Linked DNA regions of Daphnia pulex. The main gene of each other region encodes a partner of the protein of the gene in region 2 in a complex. Links are inferred from orthologs where the notes say so. Each region holds a gene or a part of one and is shown on either strand. Other genes may lie near its edges. The genes, in order: nuclear pore complex protein Nup98-Nup96-like and nuclear pore complex protein Nup205-like.

What was found.
Region 1: nuclear pore complex protein Nup205-like (region 2) and nuclear pore complex protein Nup98-Nup96-like share a complex: the UniProt entries of both Homo sapiens proteins name them as parts of the nuclear pore complex. The link is inferred for Daphnia pulex from reciprocal best matches to the Homo sapiens genes NUP205 and NUP98.

Annotation. Positions count from the first base shown.
Region 1 is NC_060021.1:8,259,296-8,263,804, reverse strand, and holds the start of nuclear pore complex protein Nup98-Nup96-like, read right to left. Parts: upstream 2,836-4,509; 5' UTR 2,679-2,835; exon of another isoform or gene 2,666-2,678; intron 2,575-2,665; 5' UTR 2,534-2,574; coding exon 2,482-2,533; intron 2,344-2,481; coding exon 2,101-2,343; intron 1,991-2,100; coding exon 1,596-1,990; intron 1,531-1,595; coding exon 1,287-1,530; intron 1,233-1,286; coding exon 937-1,232; intron 854-936; coding exon 637-853; intron 564-636; coding exon 135-563; intron 69-134; coding exon 1-68. Other genes in the region: condensin-2 complex subunit H2-like, read left to right, coding at 3,287-3,609, 3,679-4,070, 4,131-4,372, 4,469-4,509. UniProt on the Homo sapiens protein: Plays a role in the nuclear pore complex (NPC) assembly and/or maintenance. NUP98 and NUP96 are involved in the bidirectional transport across the NPC. May anchor NUP153 and TPR to the NPC.
Region 2 is NC_060022.1:5,062,972-5,067,493, reverse strand, and holds the start of nuclear pore complex protein Nup205-like, read left to right. Parts: upstream 1-1,578; 5' UTR 1,579-1,758; coding exon 1,759-1,893; intron 1,894-1,951; coding exon 1,952-2,424; intron 2,425-2,484; coding exon 2,485-3,255; intron 3,256-3,314; coding exon 3,315-3,742; intron 3,743-3,800; coding exon 3,801-3,950; intron 3,951-4,020; coding exon 4,021-4,244; intron 4,245-4,306; coding exon 4,307-4,403; intron 4,404-4,465; coding exon 4,466-4,522. UniProt on the Homo sapiens protein: Plays a role in the nuclear pore complex (NPC) assembly and/or maintenance. May anchor NUP62 and other nucleoporins, but not NUP153 and TPR, to the NPC.

The DNA.
Region 1 (4,509 bases), on a different chromosome or scaffold from region 2:
AGGAGTTGGTGCAGCCCCGTTGGACAAACTGGTACGGGCGCTTGATTTGATCAATTCTTCTGTTTTTCCTGAAAACGCAATGAAACAATTAATGAATGAAATGCGTTCAACTGTGTTCATTCGAAGTGGCTTACCTGACGGTTCCAGCATTTTCCGGAAGAGAGGATGATCACTAGACTGAGAAATCTCACTTAGCGTCAAGATATACTGATGAATAGGCAACTGGGAACTGCTAGTTCCAGTAGTAGGCTGCGTCGTTCCGAAAGACATTGAAGTTGAGGGTGCTCCAATACTTGTGTTCCCAAAGAGTGAACCGGGAGCGCCAGTACCCATCCCACCAGTAGCTGTTCCAAAGCTAGGTGTAGTGCCAAAGCCAGAACTTCCAAAGGGAGTACCGCCAAATGGACTGGGCTTTGCATTTGCAGCCGATGCCCCGCCGAACATTGTATTTTGACCGAATCCTAGAGTCGACGGAGTTGATGTCACCGCACCAAATGTTTGCCCGGCTGGTTTGACTCCAAAAGCCGTTTGTCCAGGTGTGAACAACCCAGTTCCAGTAGTACCTATAAAAAATACAGTCGAAATTTTTTTTGGTGCAAACACAAACAAACAACAAAAACAATTTCCTGATCTAACCTGATGTACCAAATCCACCGAACGCTGGCGTCGTTGTTTGAGCGGGAGTAGTTCCAAATGCAGGGGTAGGTGTCGCTCCAAAACCAGTTATTGGTTTCGCACCGAAGATGTTGGATCCAGCGGACTGAGTGGTTGTCGTTTGAGGAAAACCAAAACCTGCTGTTGAAGTCTGAACTCCCATTGCTGGCTTTGGAGTGTTGAAAAAGCTTTGACTGGTCTGCAATAATCAGAAATAAAAAGAAAACGATAAGTAGGAAACAATCTCAAATAAAAAGGAATAAATAAAAATATTATCATTACCTGTTGTGGGGCACCAAATCCAAATGCGGGAGCGGGTGTTTGTGTCCCGAAAGCAGGAGTGGGTTGGCTCGTAGATTGGGGACCGAAAATCGATGAGCCAAAAGGTTTATTTTGTTGTTGCTGACCGAAGAGACTGGGTTGCTGCTGTTGTTGCTGTTGAGGTGCAGGCGTCCCGAAACCAAATGATGATTGAGTGGAAGTAGCAGGTTGACCAAACCCCATGGGTTTTGCTCCAAAGGCCGAAGGTTGAGCTTGTTGCTGTTGAGGCTGTCCAAATAAGCTCGGCTGTCCCATAGCTAAATACATACGAATTATCTCTTTTGTTCATCATACACAAGAAAAATACTTACTGGGTGCTGGTGTTCCGAAAAGGGGCGTCTGTTGAGTTTGTCCAAATAACGGAGTTGATTGGGTAGTCGTAGTGGTCCCACCAAATAATCCTCCAGTTTGTGGTGCGGTTCCCGGGGTCGGTCCTTTCCGTCCTACAGAGTAGTCTTCAAATCTAAGTTCTTCCAAAGATTTATTGTCATATTCTTTCATGCATGTTATACACTGATGGTGTGTGTTTATTGTCGTTTGGACATTGTTTTTCATCTAAAGACCACAAAATGAAAATTATAATTCATAGAGAAAAATATGTGTATGAATAAATATTATACCATAGAGTCTGTCCCTGTTAGAGGACTGAATTTTACTGGGGTACCAGTAATGGCTCCACCAGTACCACCAAATCCCCCAATTGTGTTACCAAAAGATGATGTCCCAAACAAACCAGTACCCGTTGACGGCGTTGCTTGTGCTGTGGGCTGTCCAAAAAGTGAGGTGGTTTGAGTGGGCTGGGATTGGGGTTGTCCAAACAAGCTACTGGAGGTACTAGTTGCTCCAAAGCCAAATGTAGGTTTAGCTTGAGCTCCAAATCCTGTATTGGTGGCTGCTCCAAACATGCCAGTTGTACCAGTTGAAGGGGCAGTTTGTTGGGTATTAGATCCAAACATACCAGTTGAAGCAGCAGGGGCTCCAAATAAGCTCCCCCCTGAAGTCCCACCACCAAATCCTTTTGTTACAAAACCAACAACATGATTAAGTGCTCTTTGATTGCAAATTAATGAAGTTCATCAAAGATATCTACTGTTTGATGAAATGTAACTATAAAACATAAAATACCTCCAAAGCCAGTATTAGTTGCAGGTGCTCCAAATCCTGCTGTAGGTTGTGCTGCTCCAAAAGTGGCAGTAGGTGTACCAAACAAACCTCCCGAGGGTTGGCTTGTTGTAGTACCTGTGCTTCCAAACATCGAGGTATTTGATCCAAAACCTGTAGATTGGAAAGTTGGTGCAGCCGTTCCAGTTGGCTTTGCCCCAAACGAAGACTGCCCAAATCCTGTTGATGTATTTGTACCGAAACCGCCTAAATGCAACAAACAATGGAGGGCAAACAAAAAATGTTGAAATTTAAATGGTGACGTAATGACAAGATAAGATACATTTGTAAACATGAAATATGCTTATGCAATGGTAAAGAATAATAATTGTCTGGATGCATTACCAAAAGTATTTGATGTTGGGGCTCCAAAAGTGGGTCTATTTTGTCCAAACATTTTTAAAGATGTATCATTGAAGAAGCCGGCACACTCCGCAGCTAAGTAAAAAAGAAAATGTCAAAAATGTCTCCCAATATTTATGGAGTACGAAATGCAACACCACAGAAGTCTTAATCTCGGAGAACTCACAATTTGAACTTACAATGGCTAGCGGTCGTCACACAAGTTTTTAGAACACAACAGTAATCTCAGCACGCGGGAGTCGTATGAACTTGCTGACAATTCAATGAAACGTTGAAAAGGCAAGACGGTGCTCATACGAATTACGAAAGGCAAAAAGCAGTTGCGGCGCACAAGAATGAGAATAGAAAGAAGGCCGTTTGACTGCGTCTTCCAGCGGTTAGTATTCATTAACTTGCATTTAGCAATTCAATATGTTTACACTATGATGACACGAAATTTAAGAGGTGTAAAATATTTTAATTAGAATTTGATTGTTGCAAAATTAAAGAGTTTTGGTTAGTTTTCGCAAAAATCTAAACACTGAGAGTCATTATAGGTGGCGCTACGTACATGGCCACCAAAGTTTGACCCTTGATTTAGTTGCATAGTGGGCCTTGTACTTCAGAACTAAACGCAACACTTACGTTTACTCCAAAATTCAATTTTTGAATTGTTGTGTTTTCTTGTTTGTTCAGGCAAAGTGGCTGACAGTTTATTTTTCAATATGAAAAATGTTCTTCTTTTTCTGAAATAGTTAAAGATTCGAGATATTTTTTGTTGTAATAAGTTTCGCAGTCGTGTTAAACAATGGGCCCTGGTCTTGCGAATTCGAGTGGGAGTTCTGTTGAAGAAGATGATGTTTTCAGTTCTCAATTTGCTGCTCTTCTTAAGCCAATTCGAGAGCTTACTAAACAAGGATGTTGGGAGCTGAATATAGCTGATAAATTGGAGGAATATGTCCAGTATATTCAAGATTTGCGGATTGAAGTTAATGTAAACGGGGAGCAAATGAAGCTAGATTTTGCTAAGGCTGCTATGGTTGTACAGAATAGTGCACAAATCTATAGCAAGAAAGTTGAGCAGCTCTGGCTTCTTCTCCAAGAAGTGATTGAGTTTTTAAGTTCGAATGGGTAACTAAAATCATGTACTGTACAATGTTTTACTTTCTAATAAAACACATTTCTCTCTACTCTCTATAGGAATGGTAATGAAAATGATGAAAATCAAACACCTGGCTCCAAGATAAGAAGAAATCACCGAAAAAAACATCACAAAGGAGATGTAGATCTTATCACAGAACCAATTCCACTGAAGTTTAGAAAGTTTGGCTCAAAATTAAAGAGAAAAGCTACAGCCAAAGACACAAAAAAGATCCAAACTTTACCGTATGAAATCTTGCAACTAGAAGAAGTTATAGGAAGCTTAAATTCTGTTAAAATTAAACTCTACACACTTTCAAACGAGCATTTGGGTTACCCCTCTGATCTAAGATCTAATTTCCCCTTTGACCCTTACACTTTGTTTTTGCAAATCCATCACGCAAACGGATTTAAAGTACATCCCGAGAGAGATGTCCTTAACGAAAACCAAGGTAAAATGAAAAATGTGGATATTTTTTTCCGTTTATTAATTTATTTTATTTTTAACGAAGAAGCTGAACATTCCGTCGCAGATTTGGTGCCAACCGAACCAGTTCCTATAACGTCTATGCACCAAGATGATCTAGAAGTCGAACCTCCTAACTTGGATGATTGGCAAAATGACGGAGAAATGGCCTCAGAAAACGAAATCATTCCAGATGACCTCGAAGAAAACGGGAACTCCAACGGTTTAACCGAAGAAGTTGTTGAGAGAATGCAACTACGCCAGAGAGCTCCGGCTCCAATTTCTGTGGTACTCATTAATTCTGTTTTTTTTTTTTTATTAGAACGAATGTGTAATATTTTTTTAGATAAATTTTTTATTACATTATTGATCATCTTTTTACAGGAGAATCAAGTAAAAGAAAAAGATCCTTGGGGTGGTATGGA
Region 2 (4,522 bases):
ATCTTTTGGAAGGCGTTCATCCCGACCCCGCCGCTTCTGTCCTAACCACACTACCAAAACTTCTCCTTTCTCTCAAATGGCGAAAAAAGAAAGTGGACAAATTCCCATCACACATGCATGTAAAATCTTTACGGGGCACACACAAGCGGCAAAGAGGTGTTTTTCTGTGGATCACGAACGACATTTTTTTTTCAGGATCTCAAATCAGTCTAGAAAGTAGACTCCACAACGACGAGTTATGGAGAGCATCAAAGATTGGATGTGTTTTTTGACCTTATAAAGATATACATATGGTGAAAGCGTCTAGGAGGCAACGACTGGCGATAAACAAAACCACCGTTCTTCGAATTTGAGGAAATAAAAACTTGGGAGGTTTTGAAATAAAAAAAATTAAAATGCTCAATCCTACGATTTCCTCCCCTCCCTTATATCTTTTTCTCTCTTCGCAGTGCGATTGACGATTGGATTTCATTTCTTTATTTTGAGCCCCAATATGCGAATCCTGTAAATAAATGTAACAAGGAAAACATACCCAAATAGGTGGACACCACCGTTCCTAAACGTCCGTCTCCTCACTTCAACCTACCCAACTCTTATGATTATTGTGTTTCTTTTTTTTTTTTTTGAATTTTTTGCCACAATCAAACCGTCAACAGTTCTTTTTTGTGTGTGCGTGAATGCGTGTCATTGAAAGGAAAAAAACCTCTATTCTCGCCCTGATCTTCCTTCATATTTTCCTCATTTACCTTGTTTGAACACTGAAAATTTTTTAAAAAGTAAAAATTATCTTATAAGAAAAATTCTGCTAGAATCGACTTTGTATGTGTGAGTGAGTGTGAGTGTTCGTCTATGGCAACTTGTGGCACAGCGCATCGTGTCTTCGTAAGTGTGCGTCTGTATTATCAAGTCAGTTGGATGACATTAGTGTAATTTGTACAGGTGAAAACAACAAAAAAAAAACAAATTCTCAGTGCTATTATTCTATTTTGTATCGAGATGACGCGTTGGACTCGGTCTCCCAAATTGGGCGTCATTAAATTCTGAAAAAAAAGCGATGTCATCTTTATAATGTTTTCTCGAGCGAAACTGAACTTTTCCCGTATTTCCTTCTGCTCCAACTCCACCACCACTCCTCCACAACAAAAAAAAGCAGCTGAGAGCATTGCTTTTTTGTATAATGATAAAAGGGAACAACTTTTTTGTGCTTGTCGATTAATTATTATTTTTCATTTTCGTGTGTGGTCGGTCTTTTTTTTCAATCTTTTTTCTTGTGCGTGTTATACGTGACTGTTGTGGACAAGATAATGTGTACAGGATAATTTGCAGTTCATTTGTAAATATTACTTGTTACTCTTTTGATTACAAACCGTCTGATCATTCTTAAAATAAGCTGATTCGTTTTTACTTTATTTTTCAAATATCCACACCCTATTTTGAGAAAACAATAAATCCATGGACGAATATTGAATAGATAGATAAATGGGTTTTTGGCGGTAATCGTGTTTCAATTTCAACGCAATTGTTTCAATTTTCTTACTGGCGGGAATTTACTTTGAATAGATGGCGCTGTGATGGTAGGTGGCGTTGGCATCATCTACCGACTACCGGTACGAAAAATTATCACACGACAATTCCCCACAGACGAATTCGAAGTCCAAGTTTCGAATACGTTCAGCTTTTGCCCTTGTGGTTATTAGGTTTTTTTAGTGAAATAAGCTTTACTTTTGGTTGAACTGTCACAAGTTTTAAAATCAAAAGATGTGGACCAAGTCTAAGGACCTCCACAGTCTGGTTGAAGACACAATTAATAACCAGCAATGCAACAGCCTAGACAATCTGGAGAAAGCATTGAAAAATCACCGTTCAGATTTCTCTGCCCTTCTTAAACAGCCGGTAATTTCATGAATCAGATTAAATCTGTGTTCTAAGCTCAAGTCAAATTCATTTTCAGGCAAAAAATCTCGATGACAGAAACCTTCTCCTAAAATCTGTCAAAGAACCTGTTCTTTTCCCTGGAAGAAAGACGACTGCTTCACTTGAACAATCGTTTGTGGATGAAGCACTCATTATCTCTGATATGTTTAATCTAAACGAAAATGTTGCTGTTGAACTTTTACACACAGCAGAACAGCAAATGCATTACTATCCAGAATTAACCAGGGGTTTGATTTCAGTACTGCTGTACTATGATGCTAGACGTGCCATTGTCAATTCATTAAAAATTCTCATCCAAGCAAGGAAAGGAATTTCATGGGCTGTAGACACCAGCGAACAAGTTGTTGACTTAATAACAGAGTACACCGTTAAATTGGTGAAAAAAGGTTTGGTAGATCAAATCATAGCCCTGTTAAGTCAACTGAACCTTGAAAAGGAAATCAATTTGCTCCACGAAAACCGAGCTCTCGGTGGACCAAAACACAGAAGGTTTGTTTACAATTAAGATTAATATTTCTTTCTTTTAATTTTTTGTGTTTTTTATTTTAGACAAGTTCATGATTTCTTCACTGAAATAAGGCAGTCGTTAGCGGACATTGTATTTTGTTTGGCTGCTCAAAATGGACTGTGTAGGGACGATACACTGCTGCTAGTGAATTACCTTTCATCTGTCGAACAAGTCGATAACGTCAACGTCACTCTTTTCATGGCTCTTTTGTATGCTATTGATATCAGCGGTATCGTTAGAACTGAAGAAAGTGAAGACGTCGTCCGGTTGTTACCCATCACTTCGGAAAGTGCATTTGTTGCGACTATTCAAAAGCGTCTGACAGAACCACTTCCTTGGAAGAACATTGGCCTTCAAGCTTCAGTTCAACTTGCCTGGGCAGTGACTTTGGCTACTTTCCGTTCGCTTTCATCTGGACTTTGCGCTCCAATTCAAATGCAGGTTGACGAAGACGAAGCCATCCTAGACGTCGCGTTAGAGGGAAAAGCTTTGAATTTTCTCAGTCATCTACTACAAACCAAAAATCATATCTACAAAGAGGAGTTTTACTTACGGCGATTACATTCACTTGTGACGGATCTAATTGTTCAAATGCCCCTGAAAATCAAAGATCTTCGTAATAAGGCCGATGAAGTTGCACGTAACATCTTTGTCTATCAGCAAGAGGGCCTTGAGCCACCTTCAAACCTGCCGCTGGATTTTCAATGGTTGCTTAACTTTATCGCCGTTCTGTACGGAGAGGATCCTCTAGAGCTGGAACTGTGTCTTGAATTTTGGTCTAGTGACATGGCCAATGCTGGAGTAAACTACAGGTATATGGTTATTGTTTATTTTGAAATAAAAATAAAAACTTATCGCCTTTTTAATGCAGAGTCTCTCAGCGACAAATGGCCCTATATAAGTTTATTCGTTTGGCCGGGGATTTGCTACCGCCTTCTCTCTACATTTCTTATGCCAGCATGCTTTGCGGATTGGCAAATGGAAAGAGGGCAGCTCACCAAGCCTTTACCCTTCTGAAACAAAACAGCAACGGCGGTCAAAGCAATTTGATCTCTTGGGAACACTTTTTCTCATCACTCCACAGATATTTTAACAGTTTGCGCCAAGAGTCGCTCCCTGTACCGGACACCATCTACCGCCACAAGCCCCTCACAAAAGGCATTACACCACAGGAGGTTCAGGGATTGCAGGTCGTTTTGAAGTTAATGCGAATCGTTCTCCAACATGACCCTGTTGCCAGGATATCTTTGGCCGAGAATCCAACATGGATACCATTAGTCGTGATGATCGGACTCTTAGGTAAGTAAAAGCAAATAGCTATCGAATGAACCCGAAAAATACATCTTCTAAATTGTAGGCTGTGCTGTGCCATTGAGTTTGAAGGGAGAGATCATGGAGGTTCTTGCAGCTTTCGCCCAGTCACCTGACATCGCATATACACTGTGGAACAGCATTGAAATAGCTCAGATTTTGTCAACTACAAGCATAGTTTCAACAAATGTCAAAGGTTTGTGCATGAAGATAATTCTATATTAATTTCCTGCCCAGTAAAAAACAAAAAAAGGGTTGAATATTAGGTCTCCACACGGAATTGGAAGATGTTGAGTCTCGAGCTGAAGAATACCCCCTCACAAGAGCCTTTCTTAAATTACTGGACGTGATGACTGATATATCCATCCCAACCAACTTGGGAACTGGACATAGAACGCCTGGATTTGATCCCTACTTATTCTACGTTAAAGATTCCGTTTTCCTGAAATTTAGTGGTAGGGCGTACCGCAATGAAACGGAAAAATGGCAGGTTTGTTCGTTTAGGTTTAAAAAGTTGTAAAACAAAGTCTTAACATTGACTTCGTTTTGTAGATTGGAAATGCCTGTGTAAAGCTATTTTTAAAATTGCTCTCGAATTACGAACCCAGTGTGGATGATTTTCAGGACTCCTACATTGAATTACCGTCTGGTAAATCATAATTAAGTTTTAAGAAAACTTGTTCTTAATGCTTGCTTTTTTTTTCCTGGTAGGCGGCAATGCCATTCGGTGCAAACCACCAGGGTATCATCTTTTGGTGCAATGTCTGC